2 linked regions of the Macaca mulatta genome follow. The protein of the gene in region 2 binds, or shares a complex with, the protein of the main gene of each other region. Links are inferred from orthologs where the notes say so. Each region holds a gene or a part of one and is shown on either strand. Other genes may lie near its edges.

The links. Proteins that work in one complex are often made in the same cells at the same time.
Region 1: PFDN6 (region 2) and ASDURF share a complex: the UniProt entries of both Homo sapiens proteins name them as parts of the PAQosome complex. The link is inferred for Macaca mulatta from reciprocal best matches to the Homo sapiens genes PFDN6 and ASDURF.

What each region holds. Positions count from the first base shown.
Region 1 is NC_133417.1:94,646,895-94,657,939, forward strand, and holds ASDURF (ASDURF protein), read left to right. Parts: upstream 1-4,597; 5' UTR 4,598-4,602; coding exon 4,603-4,746; intron 4,747-7,034; coding exon 7,035-7,088; intron 7,089-8,733; coding exon 8,734-8,809; intron 8,810-9,360; coding exon 9,361-9,431; 3' UTR 9,432-9,452; downstream 9,453-11,045. Other genes in the region: ASNSD1 (asparagine synthetase domain-containing protein 1), read left to right, coding at 9,453-10,916.
Region 2 is NC_133409.1:148,996,401-149,006,567, forward strand, and holds PFDN6 (prefoldin subunit 6), read right to left. Parts: upstream 4,454-10,167; 5' UTR 4,424-4,453; exon of another isoform or gene 4,211-4,423; 5' UTR 4,196-4,210; coding exon 4,132-4,195; intron 3,905-4,131; coding exon 3,834-3,904; intron 3,753-3,833; coding exon 3,628-3,752; intron 3,368-3,627; coding exon 3,238-3,367; 3' UTR 3,155-3,237; downstream 1-3,154. Other genes in the region: RGL2 (ral guanine nucleotide dissociation stimulator-like 2), read left to right, coding at 12-283, 378-473, 554-665, 771-1,061, 1,527-1,641, 1,758-1,969; WDR46 (WD repeat-containing protein 46), read left to right, coding at 4,873-4,950, 5,048-5,257, 5,361-5,441, 5,585-5,697, 5,820-5,907, 6,038-6,099, 6,361-6,465, 6,574-6,724 and 2 more. UniProt on the Homo sapiens protein: Binds specifically to cytosolic chaperonin (c-CPN) and transfers target proteins to it. Binds to nascent polypeptide chain and promotes folding in an environment in which there are many competing pathways for nonnative proteins.

The DNA.
Region 1 (11,045 bases), on a different chromosome or scaffold from region 2:
GGAGGCAGAGGTTGCAGTGAGCTGAGATCACACCACTGCACTCCAGCCTGGGCAATGGAGCAACACTCCGTCTCAAAATAAACAAACAAACAAACAAACACAAAGCAACAACAGCAACAAAGATTATACTGGTTTCAGATAGCTGGTTTCAGGTGGATTTAATTTCTAGCAAGAGTATCCTTTTCCTATGGATTCCTTTCTGGTTCTTCCTCTAATAGGTAACCTTCCTTGTGTATAACAAGGGATATACTAGTCTGGTTACTATGCTTAGGAAATTCATTAAATATTTTATGACCTTCAAGAAAATAAAATTTATGAATGATAGAATTCCTGAATGGAATAAATGGAAAAAAAAATGATCCAGGGTCTTGTGAATCTTGTGGTAAAAATTTTCAAGCCCAGATAACTAAGCTTTCTCTAAATAGTTCAACTAAGATACTTTAAACCATATACCTTGTAGAAAAAAACCCAGTTATTGATTTGAATTCACAAAGAACTCTACCTACATGTGTTTTGTCTTCAGTAACTTGACTCTAAGTAAAATCACTAGTAGTTCAAATATTAGTGCCAGTGGTACAATAATATTGTCTGGTTCTTGGAACAAAAGTCTGCCAAGTTCTAACCGCTCAACTTCCCTCCTACCCTTTCAATTCCTCCCCTCCCCCTGTTCCCTTTGTATATTCCTCCTTCTGCAAAAGCCATCCTGTCCCCTTTCTTTCAAGGGACTTCAATCACAGTGGCAGCCACACCTATGATTATAACATGAAACCAGCAGGAAGTATGGCCTTAATAATTTAATCTCAACTTCCATTAGAAAATAATTGGAAACTCAGATACATAAACATGTGTTGTTTTGTTTTGTTTTACTAGGACAAGCCAACAACCATAGCATGGCAATGGTTCTACAACCAAAACAACTGAACCTACAAGCAAACACGGGTGAACTGAGCTCACTTGCTTGCTTTCACTGTGGTAGCAATAGTATTTTCCTAATTGTGAAGACCCCAACACAGAGTTACATGTGGTCACAAACAGATATTAATTAATCATTTGGTAAAACTTTATTATTGCTAACGATCAGAAGTAGGGCAAAAACACTTGAGCTGTGAAGAGCTCTGCATTATAGTGAAGGCATTGTATGAAGAAAAACATCATCTGAGTACATAAACAATTATCACTAATATATCAGTTAGGCTTTATTTGTCCCTATTGCTTCACTCAGGTGGAAATACTTCCACATGTTTTTAAAGCATCTAAATTCAAATTCAGTAACAATAAATGCTTCATCATTATTTGCAACTCATCTGATAGTAAACATTTCATAACTATTTTATTTAATGGGACCAGCCATGTACTGTGACCTAAATCACAGACTATTACATTTAATTTTGTTTCTTCAATAATGTAGACCAAAATGTTTCAAGCATGTCCTCAGTCTTTGGGAAAGAGGTGGACAGTGGCACTCATATGGAAGAGTTCTAGAAGAAGCCAAGATAATTTCGATTAACCTTTTTTGTAGCTGTCAGACTATGTGAAGACACAACAGGCTTGGGCGGCATATAAAGCATCTTTCATTGGTGTCATTCACAAACCACACTGACCTCTAGATTGTAAAACAGAACTATCAACAGCGAAATCTTCAAATCCAACTGGCAGGAGAGCAGTGGATTGGAAGGAAGACCAATATGCTTAGATGAGGGGTACGTGAGGCACCTGGGCAGAAAATTTTAAGAGCACTTACTGCAGGACCCTGAGAGTCAGTGCATCTTCAAATTTGCACCCTACCACACTCACCACATCTTAGGTTTCTGCCCTGCACAAGAGCTCCAAAGTGAAGTTGGCTGCAAGAGCCAGGGAGGACTGACGTCCACATTCCACAGCTTTGAATCAAAGCTTGAGAACCAGCCTTATCTCAAGTAAAAAGGATTTACTAATCTCTAGACCAGTACTTTGGAGACTCTGCCATTTCCCTTGAGAGACCAAGACCAGCCTGGTGTGCTTTGTTACTAGGGCAACAAAGCATTCTCCCTGCATTCTCCCCGCAAAGACTTTATGTTAAGGATCCAGTAGTTCCTTTCCCAGATCCTAGAGCCCCGTTGGAAAACATCAGTCCAATATCTCAGGTCCTGTCACCTTCTGACAGAATTATTGATACAAATCACCTATTTAGACTGTGATATTAACTCTCCCTTGACTTCTCCCCCTTGGTCCTACGGCCTACCTTACTTCCCCCATCTACTACAATAGAAGGTGGGGCACAAAGAAGACCAATATCCTAGGATGCTCAGTCTCTTCAGCTTTACAGATAAGCCTCACTATTACCTCTAAACAAAGTGGAAGCCAGTCCTGGCAGTTCACCTATAATCCCAGCATCTTGGAAGGCTGAGGCGGGCAGATAGCTGGAAGCCAGGACTTTTGAGACCAGCCTGGCCAACATACTACCATACCCCATCTCTAACAAAAATACAAAAATCAGCCGGGTTGGTGGCACACACTTGTAATCCCAGGTACTTGGGAAACTGAGGCAGGAGAATAGCTTGAATCCAGAAGGCAGAGGTTGCAGTGAGCAGAGACTGTACCACTGCACTCCAGTCGGGGCAACAGAGAAAGACTCTGTCTCAAAACAACAACAATAATGACAACAACAATTACAACAACAAAGTGAAGTGATACTTCACTTTGGAGCTTCTTCCTAAACTTGGATTCTTAAAATGTTTCTAAACTAGCGGTTTTGTAAGAACTCTTTTCCTTAAAAATCTGGCACATTTAAAATATTGGAAATTTTGGGCTTTTAAAAATATTGGGATTATATCAGTGCTTATTTATCTCTATAAACTAGTCAGAACAGAGGCCCTTTAATTAGAGATATTATAGTGGGATTTATTAATACACTCCAGAAGTAGGGAAATATTTTATATTCACCCAGGGAGACATAAAGTCTGTTCTAAGTTAGACACACACAGACACATAGAGAGGTTATTGCTTCTGTTTTACAACTTCAATCTCAGGTCAAAAGTAAACAAAAACCACAAAAATTCACCAGCTCTTCTGCTTGAGCGGCCTTTATGTTAAAACAAACAAACAAAACCTCACCAACCCACATCTCAAATAGCTGTCCTCCTTCCCTCTCAGTGGACACAAAAGTAATTAATTAATTTGAGCTCACAAACGATAAACAAAAAGACTTACAAACTGGTGTCTCTTTCGCCTCTCTTATTTATTTATTTGAACGCCTGGCCTCAAGCAATCCTCCCACCTCAGCCCCAAGTGGTTGAGATTACAGGTTTGAGCCACTGCACCTATCTACCTCTCTACCAAGAAAGACTAGACGTCCATCATCCAACAGATACCACCAAATGGTTAGACCACAAAACCAAACTCCCAATCATTGCTGCTATCAATGCATCAGTAATGTATAAGTTATACCTGAATAGCTTATCAGGAATATACAAATCAGAAACAAAAACAAAATTCTAAAAATCAATTAAGAAGGAAAAATATATAACCACTTCGGATTTCTCTAAGAGCAAATAAAAAACATGCCTGGACTTAAACAACCCATGATGTATACATTTCTGTCGCGAGACAGTTTGATTCATCACATAAATCCACTTGGGCATCTCTGTGGAACCTTAAGATTTCCAATAATATAGTATAATTCTCAAAAACCTAAAATCATGTCTCTAATGTGAACATAAAACAAATACATGTCAAAGTTTTATTCAACTCATTAGTTAGTGAGGGAACCGATAAGACTTTAAAACCAATACAGAATATTAGAGAAGCTAGGCATATATTAATAAAGAAATGTTAGGACACAATTGCAGGGTTAGAGACAAAGCTGACGAATGTGTTACAGAACAATACATCATAACCTGTGTTGGTATCTGGTACACCAAAAAAATTATTTGCATCTCTACCAAACCAAAATCTCTACCAAAGTTAACCTTTGCCCCTAGAGAATTGTAAAACAGCCCAGTCAAGTCAACATAATAAAGTCAAGTTCAGAGCAGCACTGAAAGAACATCCAGTAAATAAATCTCTTTTGCCTATTTCCAAGTTTTAGTCATTTTTTTCCACGGAAGTGAGATATTGCAAATATTGCAGGGGACATAGACATACTAAAAAACTACGAATTCATCTGAAATTCATACTGTATTTTATCCGGCAACCCTAACCACGAGTTAACCAAAACTTTACCAAGTCTGTATAGTTCTATTGCCAACACAGTATCTCCTATGTTCCTCAACTTCATCTTTCCCTAGATAATACATATTATATTAAGAGCTATTTCTATTGCACGGCTATTCTTTACATGTACCACTGGAGGGCGCACATAACTCGTAGTATACTAGATAAGACGTCATGAAGAAACCACCTGAGCGTTTCTGCATCTCAACCACTAGAGGCCAGTACAGGAACCTCAGATTTTGCAACCAGACTGTTTACTCACGCCCTAAGCAGCCACGCGCAGGCGCGAAACTCCTCCCCAGGCCAGACACGGCCTGCGCATGCGTTCAAGTGAGCGCGCAGACGCTGTTGGTAAAACTCGCGGGAAAAGAAAGGGTGCGCGCGGCTGGAAGCGCGCATGCGCGGTGACTAATGCTCGAGGTTCCTTCAGGGCCGAGCATACTGCGCTTCTTGCGGTGGGTGGAAATGCCCAACCGAGGGACGCGCCCAGAGGACAGCCCTGTGCTGATCCCCACCGACAATTCGACCCCACACAAGGAGGATCTTAGCAGCAAGGTGAGTGTCAGACGCAATGAAAGGCTCCTGGACTTGGGACTGGGCGCCACAGGACCCTAAAGTTGGTCCGCAGGGGGCAGCGTGGGGCCTGCCCGGGACTCGGCTTTGCCCTGCTACTTTTCTCTTTTTATTCTTAGCACTTGACAGCTACAGTTAGTCCTTTTATTTTCTGAAAACAGTTGCGAAAAGGGAGATATTGAAATTTGCCCCGAGACACGACCCAGGTGGCAGCGGGGCGGAGTTCTGGTTGGGTGTTTTTAAACTTTGGGAAATACCGCCCACCCCAAATCTGTTCCATCGCAGATATTCTGCATCCGGTTAACCATGCCAGCAACCTGGGATCCATCCTTGACGCCCATCATGGAAGCCTATCAGTTCTACCTTTGAAACTCATTTCAAATATGTCCCTTTATCACCGTGAACACTTACCACCCCAAATAAGCCACTGTCATCTGCCATCGGGACCCCCGCCCCCCGCCCCCCGCAAGGGCTTCCTAACTGGTCTCTCCTCATCCACCTGTTAGCTGCTGCTTCTCCGTTAACCAAAGCAATGGTCCTAAAACACGCATTGGGTTGTCACTGTTATACCAAAAAGGGGGAGGGAGGAAGCCAATATAATATAAGCCTTAACTGCCATAAACAAACAAAACCTTTAAAGATAAATGGGGATGGGCAGGGTTATAGCCCTTCAGGTACTACATGTCCTAGATTCTACTTTGGTTCTGTCCCAAACTTGCAATGACATCTGGGCAAGTCTCTTTAATCTTTTTGTATCAGTTACCTTCTTTGAAGTAAAGTGAAATGTACACCTGTCATTCCTAAAATGGGAAAGCCCTGTACAAACGTTAAGTCTCAAAGAATGTTTACAAATTCGGCCTTGGAATTCAACCTCATTACCACAGCTCTGCCAACTGGGGAGACAGAAAGGTGCACACTCATGGGAATTGGGGGTGAATTTTCAAAAGACACACAGTCCATTCTGATTACCACCATTGCAAGCCCCTTACGCATACTGGTGGATACAAATCCCTGAGGTGTGTGAGGTAGCACAAATATTATAAAAGCTGCTTTTAGAGGCTCGTGTGATACTATGTAATTAGTCGTGTTCACAAAATAAATAGTTAAAGAGTTAAAAAGAAACTTAGTTTTCACCTTAGTTGAGCCCTCCCCTACAAATAAATAAAGCCCAGGTCAGCACTGTGGCCCAGGCCGGTAGTCCCAGATACTCGGAGGCTAAGATGTGAGAATCACCTGAGCCTGGGAAAATCGAGGCTGCAGTGAGCCGTCACCTCGCCATTGCACTCCAGCCTGGGTAACAGATCAAGACCCTGTTTGAAAAAAAAAGAAAACCAGTTCAACAGTGCCAGCTCCATGCTAGCCATTGAGCTAAAAAGGGAAAAATACAAAGATGGAACATGATAGGTCTTACTGTCCCCAAATAAGGCATTGCTTGATTTGAATGTGTTTGACTGCACTGATTAGTACATAAAATCATGAAAATATTGAAAAAAGTAACCCACCCCTCATTCAATTTGCTGTTTTTTTCCCCCCATCTAAATCACAGCTTAATTGAAAGACTGGAATTCCTTTTGGTGTATATCATATATGTATGTGTGTGTGTATATATATATATTTTTATATATATATTTTTTTCTTTTTTGAGATAGAGTTTCGCTCTTCTTGCCCAGGCTAGAGTGCAATGGTGCAATCTTGGCTCACCGCAGCCTCTGCCTCCCAGGTTCAAGCAATTCCCCTGCCTCAACCTCCTGAGTAGCTGGCATTACAGGCATGCGACACTATGCTTGGCTAATTTTGTATTTTTAGTGGAGATGGGGTTTCTCCATGTTGGTCAGGCTGGTCTCGAACTCCCGACCTCAGGTGATCCACCTGCCTTGGCCTCCCGAAGTGCTGGGATTACAGGCATGAGCCACCGTGCTGGGTCTGGTGTATATCATATATTTTTAACAAAAGGTATAAACCTTGTTGAGTAACTGTAGTCTTTGGTATGATTGCTGGTTACGAACACCAAATCCCCTGTCTGATCTTAATGGGTTACCTAACATTTTGCAAGTCTAATCACTGTTTTTTCTCCTCCAACTTTTCCCCAACTGGACCCCCACACAGACTGCTGTTGAAGATAATCTGTATATTCATGAACTGCCCATTTGGAAAACCAGTACATCATAGCCCCTTATCCCATCTCTAATTTTAAAACAACCCCTTAAGGGATTCTCATTGAACATACTTTGAAAACATCTAGCTTAAGGAGTTTTTCTTTATTTCAATAGATTAAAGAACAAAAAATTGTGGTGGATGAACTTTCTAACCTTAAGAAGAATAGGGTGAGTTATTATAGGAATTCTGAATAACAAATATGTGGGAGGTTTATTTATGTTAACTATATATTAAAGTTATAAGAATTATATATGAGATTTAATCATACTTTAATAAAATGTATAGTATTTCAGCATCTTTTTAAATTGCAAGTGTCTATTTTTTAAATGGATAGATCTCATAGTTGAAGATGTCTTTTTTCTATCATACGCTATTCACATTGCATTTGCAACAAATGATACTAGTTGTATTTTGGTATCTTGGAGCTGTAATCACTGATGATGTTTATTTTATACCCTGAATTTGGTGTTTTCTTTTGATACAAACAAACTTTATATTGAGATGAGAAGAAACTTTTCTTTCAAATGAATGTGGATAATTATTGAACAAAAAAAAATACATTGCTTCCCCTCCCTCCAAAAAATTTTTACATAGATTTTTATAAATGTGTAACATGGTTATTTAATGCCATTTCCATTAATATAAATAAGCAAGCTACTGCTTTGTGTATAGTTTCAGTGTCAAATTACATTTTAACATTCAGGAACAAATGAGTTTGAGCTCTTAAAAGTATTTTAAAGATTATGTAATAACTGGTTAGATATTTCTGATGTTGTCACTTATGGAATATTAGAAGTTGAAGCACATAAAAAAATTAGCTGGGTGCCTGCCTGTACTTCCAGCTACTCGGGAGGCCGAGGCACAAGAATCTCTTGAACCTGGGAGGCAGAGGTTGCAGTGAACTGAGCGCATCACTGCACTCCAGCCTAGGCGACAGAGCAGAACTCCATCTCAAAAAAAAAAAAAAAAAAAAAGTTGAGGCAGAATTAATACAGACTTTCTCTAGAGGGCAAATTGAGGGCAAATCTCAACAACTCAAACTATAACACTTTGACCCAGCAGTTCCATTTATAGTAGTTGATACTTAGGAGAGAATCATGGGAGTTCACGAAGATTTAGTTACAAAGATATTCATCACAACGTTGATTTACAATAGCAAAGAGTTGGTAGCACTTTAAATGTTTAGTATTTGAAGCGAGCAAATAAACTGTAATATATTATACCTGTATAGCAGTAGGTATAATTTGGTCGCCGTAGCTTGCTTTGCCATTTTTGTGTTCTTGTAAAATAACACTTACTGATAAGAAAAAGTGTTCTCCGGTGAAACCCCGTCTCTACTAAAAATACAAAAAATTAGCCGGGCGCGGTTGTGGGCGCCTGTAGTCCCAGCTACTCGGGAGGCTGAGGCAGGAGAATGGCGTGAACCCGGGAGGCGGAGCTTGCAGTGAGCCGAGATCGCGCCACTGCACTCCAGCCTGGGCGACAGAGCAAGACTCCGTCTCAAAAAAAAAAAAAAAGAAAAAGTGTTCTCAATATATTGCTCATTGATAAAAGCATAAATCTGCAGGTACAGTAAGAACATTTTTTGTTAAAATGGTATATGGAGAGAAAATAGTTTCATTTCAGTAGTAGCACTTTCTGGTAGTTGGGCAATGGATGACTTTTATTTGTGTTTTTGCTTATCTGTGTTTGCTAAAGTATAGTACTAAATATATATTACTGAAGTTCAAGAATTAGTGATAATAGGGTTAAGGATTTTAACATCTACTTTTTAGATCAAAATTTGATTTTAGCCTAAATTATGTTTTCCAGAAAGTATATAGGCAGCAACAGAACAGCAATATATTCTTTCTTGCAGACCGAACAGAAATGCTATCTGAGAGCAAAAGTAAGTTTTTTCTTTTTTGTGGCTTTTGGGGGGTGCCTAAATTATACTCATCTGAATGTTAAAATATATATCAAAAGATTAATGCAGCAGTTTGGTTTTCTTCAAGTTAGCCTTCCAAAGATGAGTCAACAGTTTAAATAAATATATATATATATATATATCATAATATGTGTTAGCAATAGTTATTAACATGTGCTTTAGAGTTTCAAACAGGCCTAAGTATGACAAACAATTACCACTTTCTACCTTTGTGACTTTGGGTGAAATACTTTAAACCTCCAAGGTATTGTGGGATCTAAATAAGATGCTGTGTAAAAAGTGCTTAGCCAAGTGCTTGGGCCAAAATGAGCACCCGGCAAAACAGAAGCTATTTTTGTAAAAGATAAACATTCTTTGTTAGTAGCCTGTTGTTAATTATCATTGGCACTGGCACAGTGTGTGTGTTTATATGGTTTGATTTTGGTAAACAGCTTGTTTTGCCCTCTGAATTGCTAGGTAAAAGTCCAAGAATTTTTATGTTATTTAATATTTATTCTCCTTCCCTGCAACAGGTATATTGGATGAACTGAAAAAAGAATACCAAGAAATAGAAAACTTAGAGAAGACCAAAATCAAGAAATAGTCAACCTAATTTCACGTAACAATGTGTGGCATTTGTTGTTCTGTAAACTTTTCTGCTGAGCATTTCAGTCAAGATTTAAAAGAGGACTTACTATATAATCTTAAACAGCGGGGACCCAATAGTAGTAAACAATTGTTCAAGTCTGATGTTAACTACCAGTGTTTATTTTCTGGTCACGTCCTACACTTGAGGGGTGTTTTGACTACCCAGCCTGTGGAAGATGAAAGAGGCAATGTGTTTCTGTGGAATGGAGAAATTTTTAGTGGAATAAAGGTTGAAGCTGAAGAGAATGATACTCAAATTTTGTTTAATTATCTTTCCTCCTGTAAGAATGAATCTGAGATTTTGTCACTCTTCTCAGAAGTGCAAGGTCCCTGGTCATTTATATATTATCAAGCATCTAGTCATTATTTATGGTTTGGTAGGGATTTTTTTGGTCGCCGTAGCTTGCTTTGGCATTTTAGTAATTTGGGCAAGAGTTTCTGCCTCTCTTCAGTTGGCACCAAAACATCTGGATTGGCAAATCAGTGGCAAGAAGTTCCAGCATCTGGACTTTTCCGAATTGATCTTAAGTCTACTGCCATTTCCAGATGCATTATTTTACAACTGTATCCTTGGAAATATATTTCTAGGGAGAATATTATTGAAGAAAATGTTAATAGCCTGAGTCAAATTTCAGCAGACTTACCAGCATTTGTATCCGTGGTAGCAAATGAAGCCAAACTGTATCTTGAAAAACCTGTTGTTCCTTTAAATATGATGTTGCCACAAGCTGCATTGGAGACTCATTGCAGTAATATTTCCAATGTGCCACCTACAAGAGAGACACTTCAGGTCTTTCTTACTGATGTACACATAAAGGAAGTAATTCAGCAGTTCATTGATGTCTTGAGTGTAGCAGTCAAGAAACGTGTCTTGTGTTTACCTAGGGGTGAAAACCTGACAGCAAATGAAGTTTCGAAAATGTGTGATAGGAAAGCAAATGTTGCAATCCTGTTTTCTGGGGGCATTGATTCCATGGTTATTGCAACCCTTGCTGACCGTCATATTCCTTTAGATGAACCAATTGATCTTCTTAATGTAGCTTTCATAGCTGAAGAAAAGACCATGCCAACTAGCTTTAACAAAGAAAGGAATAAACAGAAAAATAAATGTGAAATATCTTCTGAAGAATTCTCTAAAGATGATGCTGCTGCTGATGACGACAGTCCTGATAAATATGTCAGTGTACCAGATAGAATCACAGGAAGGGCGGGACTAAAGGAACTAAAAGCTGTTAGCCCTTCCCGAATTTGGAATTTTGTTGAAATTAATGTTTCTATGGAAGAACTGCAGAAATTAAGAAGGACTCGAATATGTCACTTAATTCAGCCGTTGGATACAGTTTTGGATGATAGCATTGGCTGTGCAGTCTGGTTTGCTTCTAGAGGAATTGGTTGGTTAGTGGCCCAAGATGGAGTGAAATCCTATCAGAGCAGTGCAAAGGTATGACACTGTTTCTTCTGATAATTTCTGAGACCTATTTTTGACCCTTAAAGCTTGTAGCATTTTGATTGTAAGAATATAGCATATTTTAGTTGCATTTAAACTACAACACAACATATGTGACTTCTT
Region 2 (10,167 bases):
TTTCCTCGCAGAATGGATACATCAATTTTGACAAGCGGAGGAAGGTGAGTGGAGTGCCTGGGCTGGATGCTGGACTTCTCAATCCATGTTCCCGGAAGGGGAGGGGGGAAAGTCAGGTGTCCCTGAGTTTTGGCTCCTGCAGTTTGAGGGCTCCTTCCCAGGAGTTTGCAGTCCTTTCTGAGTTGCGACGGCTCCAGAATGAATGTCGTGGCTATAACCTCCAACCTGACCATGATATCCAGAGGTGGCTACAGGGGCTCCGGCCACTGACAGAGGCTCAGAGGTGACTGGCGGGTGAGGTTGGGACTCTAGGGCTCTGGCCAGGTGTGGGGGATTGGTGTCATGTCCTGAGCTCTGTCTTTTGCCCCCTAACCCAGCCATCGTGTATCCTGTGAGGTGGAGCCACCTGGTTCCAGTGACCCTCCTGCCCCACGGGTGCTTCGGCCAACATTGGTCATCTCGCAGTGGACAGAGTGAGAGATTCACTGGCTGGGGGATGGTTACTTGGAACTTCCACTTTTCTTCTGATCCTCCCAATCTCCTGCCACTGTAGGGTTCTGGGCTCTGTTGGGGTCCCTACCCCGCTTGTGTCCTGCGAGCGGCCCAGTATGGCGGGAGATGAGGTGCCTACAACTCCTGCTCCTCTGCTGACTCGGCTGGCCCAGGTGAGCTCTGCTCCTGACTCTGACCTTGATGCTGACCCTCACTCTGTAAATGTTTCTTCCTTAATCTCCCTGCCTTCATGCCAGTCCCATGTTGTTTATTCCTAGCACATGAAGTGGCCATCTGTCTCGTCACTAGACTCTGCCCTGGAAAGCAGTCCATCCCTGCACAGTCCAGCTGACCCCAGCCATCTCTCCCCACCAGCCTCCTCCCCTAGGCCTTCTCGAGGTCACCGCCGCTCAGCCTCCTGTGGCTCCCCGCTGAGTGGGGGTGCAGAAGGGGCCTCCGGGGGGACTGGATATGGGGGAGGGGGATCTGGGCCAGGGGCCTCTGATTGCCGAATCATCCGAGTCCAGATGGAGCTGGGGGAAGATGGCAGTGTCTATAAGAGCATTTTGGTGAGGGAGCCTTGGGATGGAGTTGGGGTGAAGGATGGTGTCTTGTTGGACTATAAATGTCTGAGGTTTGGGCAACCAAATGGAATTGAATGTAGTTTTAATTTTGACTTTTGGTTTTGGCAGTTATTTATTTTTAATTTTATCTTGTAAACTCTGGTCTTCAATACAAGCTAAAATTTGTTTTATTTTGATGGCTATTTTGCATTAGTTGCTACACCTTAAACTTTTGGTGGCCATATTAAAATTTCAGAATCAACAGCAGTTTCCCCAAAGGCAAGCAGCTCTGTTTCACTGGGCACCATGTGGGCTGGCTTATGGGGTATAGGAAGCCACCGTATTGGGTTTCCCTGTTCCTTTTAAAGCCTTGAACACAAGTAACCTTTTGTGGTTGGGTTCAGTGGCTAAGGGTAGAAGGATGGGAATTCATGGCTGATTGATTGCTCTTTTGGTCTCCTGTCCTGCCAGGTGACAAGCCAGGACAAGGCTCCAAGTGTCATCAGTCGTGTCCTTAAGAAAAACAATCGTGACTCTGCAGTGGTTTCAGAGTATGAGCTGGTACAGCTGCTGCCAGGGGAGCGAGGTCAGAGGCCACGAGGGAAAGGCAGACTCGGGAGGAGAGTGGAGTGCTTCCACATCTGGGCGGCTGTGGGGGGAATGACTGTGCTTGTGCTTGACATCCATCCCCTGAACCTTCAGAGCTGACTATCCCAGCCTCGGCTAACGTATTCTACGCCATGGATGGAGCTTCACACGATTTCCTCCTGCGGCAGCGGCGAAGGTCCTCTGCTGCTACACCTGGCGTCACCAGTGGCCCGTCTGCCTCAGGAACTCCTCCGAGTGAGGGAGGAGGGGGCTCCTTTCCCAGGATCAAGGCCACAGGGAGGAAGATTGCACGGGCACTGTTCTGAGGAGGAAGCCCCGTTGGCTTACAGAAGTCATGGTGTTCATACCAGATGTGGGTAGCCATCCTGAATGGTGGCAGTTATATCACATTGAGACAGAAATTCAGAAAGGTAGCCAGCCATCCTGGGGCAGTGAAGTACCACTGGTTTACCAGACAGCTGAGAAATCCAGCCCTGTGGGAACTGGTGTCTTATAACCAAGTTGGATACCTGTGTGTAGCTTCCCACCTGTGTGTGCTTCCTACCTGTGCAGCACACAGGTAGTGCTGGAAAAAACGCATCAGTTTCTGATTCTTGGCCATATCCTAATATGCAAAGGGCTAAGCAAAGGCCTCAAGGCTCTGAGCCCCAGGGCAGAGGGAATGGCAAAAAATAGGTCCTCGCAGAAGTTCTTCTTCCCAGTCTGGGGGTTTCTATCACTGTGACAACACTAAGATAATAAACCAAAACACTACCTGAATTCTACTCCCCTGTCCTTGTAGTGCGTATGAACTGGCTGCTATGAGTGGGGGTGGGGAATTGGCTGAAGGTAGATGCCATGGAACAGGAAGGGGCACAATGTTTTCTATCCCCATGAACAGAGCAAAAAGTGAGTGAGGTATTGGTGAAAAAAGTTTCCTCAGAACAATTTTTCTTCAGTAACCTCTCTACCACTGGTCCCTTGCTGCAAATGTGTATAAAACAATTTTAGGACAAGGAAATGGCAGAACAACTTTATGGACAACATATAAACTTGGGAGGACTTATACACTACAAAGCATTACGTGCTGGGATTTTAAGTCAGTTTAAGCTACATTCAAGCAAATTCTAGGAAGACAGAGGCTGAAAAGTACCAATAGAGATGCCAGGGCTGCTGGCAAAGAGGGTAACCACATTTCATCCTGGGGCCTCAGGTTAGAGAACTGTGAATTCTTTTTCAATTGAACTGACATTCCTAGTAATACGCTATGTTGTAAATGCCCTTCCAAAATAATCATGCCAACCAAGATGAGGGAAAGTTAAGGGTTGTATATACAGGCAAGAAGTAGGTTTGAGGACATTTAGGATTTCACTTTCAAGAAAGAAAGAACATCGTGCCACAAAGAAGTTCCAAGTGCAAGAGTTTGAACCTGAGGGGGTAATACAGGTGGTGTGTGTGAAGGTGGAAGGGACTGTGGGGATATGACAGAAGCGCCTGGTCAGGAAACGGAGCCAGGTGTTTTTACATTTTATTAGCTACAGTATAGATGCTAGAGCTGCCTCATTCCCTCCCCTCCCCTCCCCCCACCAAGGGGTCAGGCCTTGCCAGGAGCCCCTGCCTTTGCCGCCTGGGCCCGCTGGAACTCCTGCTGCAGCTGAGCAAGGGTCTCCCTCTGTTGCTCTGACTGCCGCTCAAGATCCCGGAGCTGGGATTCATATCGCTTACTAAAGAGAGACAAGGGAGACAAGTAGAAAGGGAGAAATTAGTAGGACTTACTAAGGAGGGTGCTAAACGCAAGAAAGAGATAGGTGGAAAACTTGAGATTAGGGAAGGGAGAAGGGGGGTTAAAAGGGAAGGAAGGGGTTGGAGGAACTGGAGGACTAGGGGCCACTATGGAGAGCTGTTCTGCAATGGTTCAACACCTCTACTCCAATGGTTCACTGCATCACAGGGTGCAGCACACAGTGGTGGAATAAAGACTCACATTTCAGCTGTGATATAGTCCAGCCTCTTCCCTACTGTGGCCCGAGCCTCCCCCAGCTCCTGTTTGACTAGCACCGGACCCAGAAGTTTAAAGACCACGTTGGACCCATCCAGCAGGGCCAGTTCCTGATGGAGGGATGGGACATACGTGATCAGAACCATGGCTAGTACAGGTCCCTCCTCGCCCCACAAATCCCAGTCCCTCACCTCTTTCACGATATTATTTTCTGTTAGTTGTGCTTCAAGTTTCTGCCTCCCCGACATGGATTTACTCAAGTCTGGGGATAAGAGGAAAGGCAAGATTAGAAACATCAATCCTAGTCAGGTGGATATGGATCTGAGGAAGCAGAAAAAGATGGGGGCAGCGGGTCAGTGAATAGGGAAGAGTACTGAAGCGGGAAAGTCTCTGCACGCAAGGGCCCAGATGGGGCAACAAACCTTATCTCGGTAATGGCTTTGGGTTGTGAGTGCATTGGGCGAGGCCATACCGACCCTGCTCCCTTACCCTTCTGTAGCTGTTGATATTTCTCCACTTCTCCCTGCAGCTTCTTCTGGATCAGCTCCGCCATGGCGGGGATGAAAGCCTACGGGGAGCGAGACAAGGGCGCTGCGTCTCACTCTCTGGAAGGTACCTGAGCTCACTTTTCTGATCTCGCCTGCGGAAATGATAGCACTCTTGAGAGGCAGCCCTGAGGGGCACCGCCACCTCCCCCCGGTCCTGGGTATCGACTCCACCCCGTCCCCAGGATATGGTGGGCGAAACGCAAGACCGTAAGCCTCTCAACCGAAATCCTAACCTATTCACGTTCTGCTTTCAGTAGTAATAAACCCGGAAGTAAACGAGGAATGCCGGGAAAAGACTGCGCCGGAAGTTTCTTTCTGACCCTTGATGGGAAGTGTAGTTCTGACATGTTTAGCGAATGGAGTTCTGCTACAAAGACTGGACTCGGATATTTTTAGGCAAGATGGGGAAACTAACCCGGAAAAAGAAACCGCACCGCTACTTAGCCCCTGGTCCCGGGCCTGCCTTTCTTTTGTAAGTCACTCTTGCATAAGCTGCCGCTCCCGATAAGGTGCCAAGAGCTCTTCCGCCCCTCTAAGGAGAGTGTGCCCTCACTCAAGATGGCGCCTAGAGAGCTTCAGACCTGGTACGCTACTGATTGGATGAAGGATAGAGGGCTTCCGGGAGTTTTCAAGCCGACTGTGGGGCAGCTGAGAGGAGTTTTGCACGTGGATCGCCGTTCGGATGGGCGAGATGGAGACAGCCCCCAAGCCGGGCAGGGATGTCCCGCCCAAGAAAGACAAACTTCAGACCAAGAGAAAGGTATCGGCCTCCCTGGGTGGGAAAGGAAGTTTTTTGCTGCGGGGTCGGGGGGGCGGGGCGTGGGTGCGGAGTATCAGAGTTCCTGATCTGCTTGTAGAAACCGCGGCGATACTGGGAGGAAGAGACTGTTCCGACCACAGACGGAGCCTCTCCAGGGCCTCCTTGTAACAAGAAGAATCGGGAGCTCCGTCCTCAGAGACCAAAAAATGCTCACATATTAAAGAAGTCTCGGATCTCTAAGCAGCCTCAGGTCCCGAAGAAACCCCGAGAGTGGAAGAACCCGGAGTCCCAGCGGAGCTTGTCCGGGGTGAACGTGGAACCTAATGGGTGGCGAGGCAGGCCGCCTTGTGCTTTGAAAGGGTTGGGGTCAACCCAAGGCTGTCTACTAACTGCGTTCTCCTTTCCCCTAGGCCCAAGATCCATTCCCAGGCCCCGCCCCCGTCCCTGTGGAGGTGGTCCAGAAGTTCTGTCGTATTGACAAATCCCGAAAGGTGAGGTCCAGCCGGAGAGTTGGGAAGTGTTGGAGGCAGGGAGTGTCTGGGTGAGTTGAATGGAGGCTGGGCTAGGTAGCTCTCCTGTGACCCCACTTATCCTATGGTTCTTCTGCCACTCCTCCCCACCAACAATGTTATAGCTACCACGTTCTAAAGCCAAAACTCGAAGCCGACTTGAGGTGGCTGAAGCTGAGGAAGAGGAAACAAGTATCAAAGCTGCTCGTTCTGAGCTGCTGCTTGCTGAGGAACCGGGGTGAGTGGGCCCTAATCTGGACCCCCAATCCTTGCCTTATAGGACTGTCTTTTCTCGTTTTTATGTTGGTACACTTGCTTCATATTGGGAAACTTTACTGCTATCCTAACCCTTGCTTTCAGGTTTCTGGAAGGGGAGGATGGGGAAGACACAGCAAAGATATGCCAGGCTGACATTGTGGAGGCTGTGGACATTGCAAGTGCAGCCAAGGTGAGCCTGAGGAGGTAAAGGAGCCAAGGGATTGATTGGTGGTGCAGGACAAGAGAGGAATGGGGGCTAGAAGAAGGCGTTCCTGCAGGGTACTCATTTTTTTTTTTTTTTTCACTCTTCTCTTTCCCAGCACTTTGACTTGAATCTGAGGCAATTTGGGCCCTACAGACTAAACTACTCTCGAACTGGAAGGTAAGGTTGAATTCTAGTGACTCTTGAACTAAGATGTGTTTCCTTAACCACTTTAGCCATGCCCACTTCAGCCATTCGCAGTATTTGTTTGGGTTGTTGATGAGGGGAGGGTCCTTTGATTTGCTTGTGTGTGCGGGTGAGCACCTGCAGCAACATGTGTCTGCCCACCTGGAGAGATGGGGCTGGCATGGGGCAGACCTCAAGTCATCTGAGTCGGTGGTCCCCTGCCTTAACACCCTGCCTGCCCCTCACCTCCAACAGACACCTGGCTTTTGGAGGGCGCCGAGGTCATGTGGCTGCCCTTGATTGGGTAACAAAGAAGCTTATGTGCGAGATCAACGTCATGGAGGCAGTGCGGGACATCCGGTCAGTGGCCTCATTGTCAGCGGTCAGTAGTGGTGAGATAGTCCATCCTTGATTGAATGATAGCCTGTGACCTCATTTCCCAATTGAACCACTCTTCCTCTCCCCCAGGTTTCTCCATTCTGAGGCACTGCTTGCTGTTGCCCAGAACCGCTGGCTCCACATCTATGACAATCAGGGCATTGAGCTCCACTGTATCCGCCGGTGTGACCGAGTGACACGGCTTGAGTTCCTGCCCTTCCACTTCCTCCTGGCTACAGCTGTGAGTGGCCGTGGAGCTCAGGAACTGGGTGGCAGCCCTTGGGATGACCACTTCTCCTTTAGGACCCCAGGAGAGGGAATACAGAGGGCAATCAGGACTGGGTCATTCTCTCTGTCTCTCTCTTTCTCAGTCAGAAACAGGGTTTCTGACCTACCTGGATGTATCAGTGGGGAAGATCGTGGCAGCTCTGAATGCTCGAGCTGGGCGGCTCGATGTCATGAGTCAGAACCCTTACAATGCTGTCATCCATCTCGGACACAGCAATGGTCAGTACCTAGCTTAGTTTTGACTCTCCGACCATCCTGACTTGCATTTCTTCTATATTTATCCTTCATGAGTCTCTTAAAGTTACCCTTTTATTTCCCTTTTTTGTTATCTCTTGGTCTTGAGTTCCCATCTTTCCCAGGTTTAATAACCTTAGGGTCAGGTTTGTATTAGCAACTTTGGTTCTTCTTCTCTTCCAGGTACTGTGTCTTTATGGAGTCCAGCTATGAAGGAGCCACTGGCAAAGATTCTCTGTCATCGTGGTGGGGTCCGGGCTGTGGCAGTAGATTCTACAGGCACGTAAGTTACTGGTGGGATGAGGCGTTAGGTGGGCAGAAAGTTGTGGAAGGTAGTGTGCTTTAGGAGCACAGACTCTAAAGCCAGGATGCCCAGGTTTAAATCACAATGTTACCACTGATGGGCCTTGTAAGTATGGGCATATGGCATAACCTTTGTGTGCCACCGTTTTCTCACCCCAGAAATGGAAATATGAGTGTCTAGTTCAAGGGTCCACAAACTTTTTCTGTAAAGAGTCAGATAGTAAATATTTGATGATTTGCTGATAAGAAGTGAAATCAAAGAGTACTGTGTAGGTATTTAAATACCAAGAGATGGAGTCTCGCTCTGACGCCCAGGCTGGAGTGCAATGGCTCAATGTCAGCTCACTGCAACCTCCGCCTCTTAGGTTCAAGTGATTCTCCTGCCTTGGCCTCCCAAAGAGCTGGGACTACAGGCACCCAGCACAACACCTGGCTAATTTTTGTATTTTTAATAGAGACAGGGTTTCACCATGTTGGTCAGGCTGGTCTCGAATTCCTGACCTCAAGTGATCTGCCCGCCTCAGCCTCCCAAAGTGCTGGGATTACAGGCGTGAGCCACTGTGCCTGACCTTTTTTTCTTTTTTAATCTTTTGACAGAGATGTAGTCTTGCTCTGTCTCCCAGGCTGGAGTGCAGTGGCGTGATCTCAGCTCACTGCAACCTCTGCCTCCCGGGTTCAAGTGACTCTTCTGCCTCAGTCTCCCAAGTAGTTGGGATTACAGGCACCTGCCGTTATGACCAGCTAATTTTTGCATTTTTTTGTAAAGACGGGGTTTTGCCATGTTGGCCAGGCTGGTCTTGAACTCCTGACTTCAGGTGATCTGCCCGCCTCGGCTTCCCAAAGTGCTGGGATTACAGCTGTGAGCCACTGCACCCGGCCCACACATTTTTAAGTTGTAAAATTAAACATAATATGGCCAGGTGCAATGGCTCACACCTGTAATCCTAGCACTTTGGAGGCTGAGGCGGGTGGATCACCTGAGGTCAGGAGTTCGAGACTAGCCTGGCCAACATGGCAAAACCCTGTCTCTACTAAAAATCCACAAAATTAGCCGGGTGTTGTGACAGGGGCCTGTAATCCCTGCAACTTGGGAGGCTGAGGCAGAAGAATCGCTTGAACCTGGGAGGCAGAGGTTGCAGTGAGCCGAGATTGTGCCATTGCACTCCAACCTGGGCAACAAGAGCAAAACTCTGTCTCAAAAAAAAAAAAAAAAAAAAGTTAAACATAATATGAGGCTGGACACAGTAGCTCATGCCTGTAATCTTAACACCTTGGTAGGCTGAGGTGGGCAGATCGCTTGAGCCCAGAAGTTCGAAACCAGCCTGGGTGACATGGCAAAACTCTGTCTCTACAAAGATAGAAAAATTAGCCAGGTGTGGTGGTGCATGCCTGTAGTCCCAGCTACTCAGGAGGCTCAGGTGGGAGGATCACCTCAGCACAGGAGGTTAAGGCTGCAGTGAGCTGTGATCATCCCACTGTACTCTTCCATCGGCAACAGAGGGAGACCCTGTCTTAAAAAATAATAATAAATATGATATTTGTGTAATACAGATCTACTAATGGGAAGAACTGAATTTCTCTTTTTGAGGATAACATTTTGCCTAGTTCATGTACAAAGTTAGTGTTCCAAATGATCAAACTTGACTGTAGATACTCATGTTCATGCTGATCTGTAGAGATTTCATGTATTTCATCTTTGAAAATATCTTTTCACACAGTTAGGTAATGATAGGTGATATGTGAGGTGCTCAAAATGCTGTGAAGCACTTATGATTGTGTCACTGTGACTTGTAGCGTACAAAGCAGGAGTGCAAATCAGGATGCCGTATTCTCTGTCATGACCACTCGGCTGTGTGTTGTAGAGCAAAAGCAGCCACGGTGTAAATAAATACTGAGTGGCCATGTTCCAATAAAACTTTATTTGTGGATATTGGAATTTGAATTTCATACAGTTTTCACAGTCTCAAAATATTATTTTGATTTTTTTTTAACCACTTAAAAATGTAAAAACCATTCTTGGCTTGTGGGCTATAAAGAACTAGATGATGGGCCAGGTTTGGCCCATGGGCAGTAGTTTACCAAGCCCTAGTTTAAAGCCCTTATAAAAGCTGTTGTAGACATTAAGATGAGTTAAGGCATATAGTTTAGCACAGTGCTTAGCAAATAGGGAGTGCTGTATTCATCATTGTCATTCAAGATGATCGTTCTCTCCAGGTCTGGCTGATGTGAGGGTAGAGGTGGTGTCTGCTTTGGATTTCTGCTGTTCCTGAGAGAGTATCTGCATTTTCCACAGCTGTTCTCTCTGATTTGTATTGTCCTCTGATTCCTTTTGTCAGGTATTCACTGGGCATCTGCTGTGGGCGGGGCTCTGTGCTGAAGTTCTGGAGATAAAAGGATGAATCATTGAGCCTGCCTTGGTGTGGTGCTCCAGTTACCCTTTGGGTATAAAAACTTGTGGCTATGGGTTTTTTTTTTTTTTGAGACAGAGTCTCACTCTGTCACCCAGGCTGGAGTGCAGTGGCACAATCTCACTGCAACCTCTGTCCCCGGGGGTTCAAGCGATTGTCCTGCCTCAGCCTCCTGAGTAGCTGGGATTATATGCACCCGCCACCACGCTCGGTAAATTTTTAAATTTTTAGTAGAGACAGGTTTCACCCTCTTGGCCAGGCTGGTCTTGAACTCCTGACATTGTGATCCACCTGCTTCAGCCTCCCAAAGTGCTGGGATTACAGGCATAAGCCACACTGTACCCGGCCATGGCTATGGTTTTTGAGAATGACTGGCCAGGTGATGCATTTATTTATTTATTATTATTTTTCGAGATGGAGTCTTGATCTGTCACCCAGGCTGGAGTGCAGG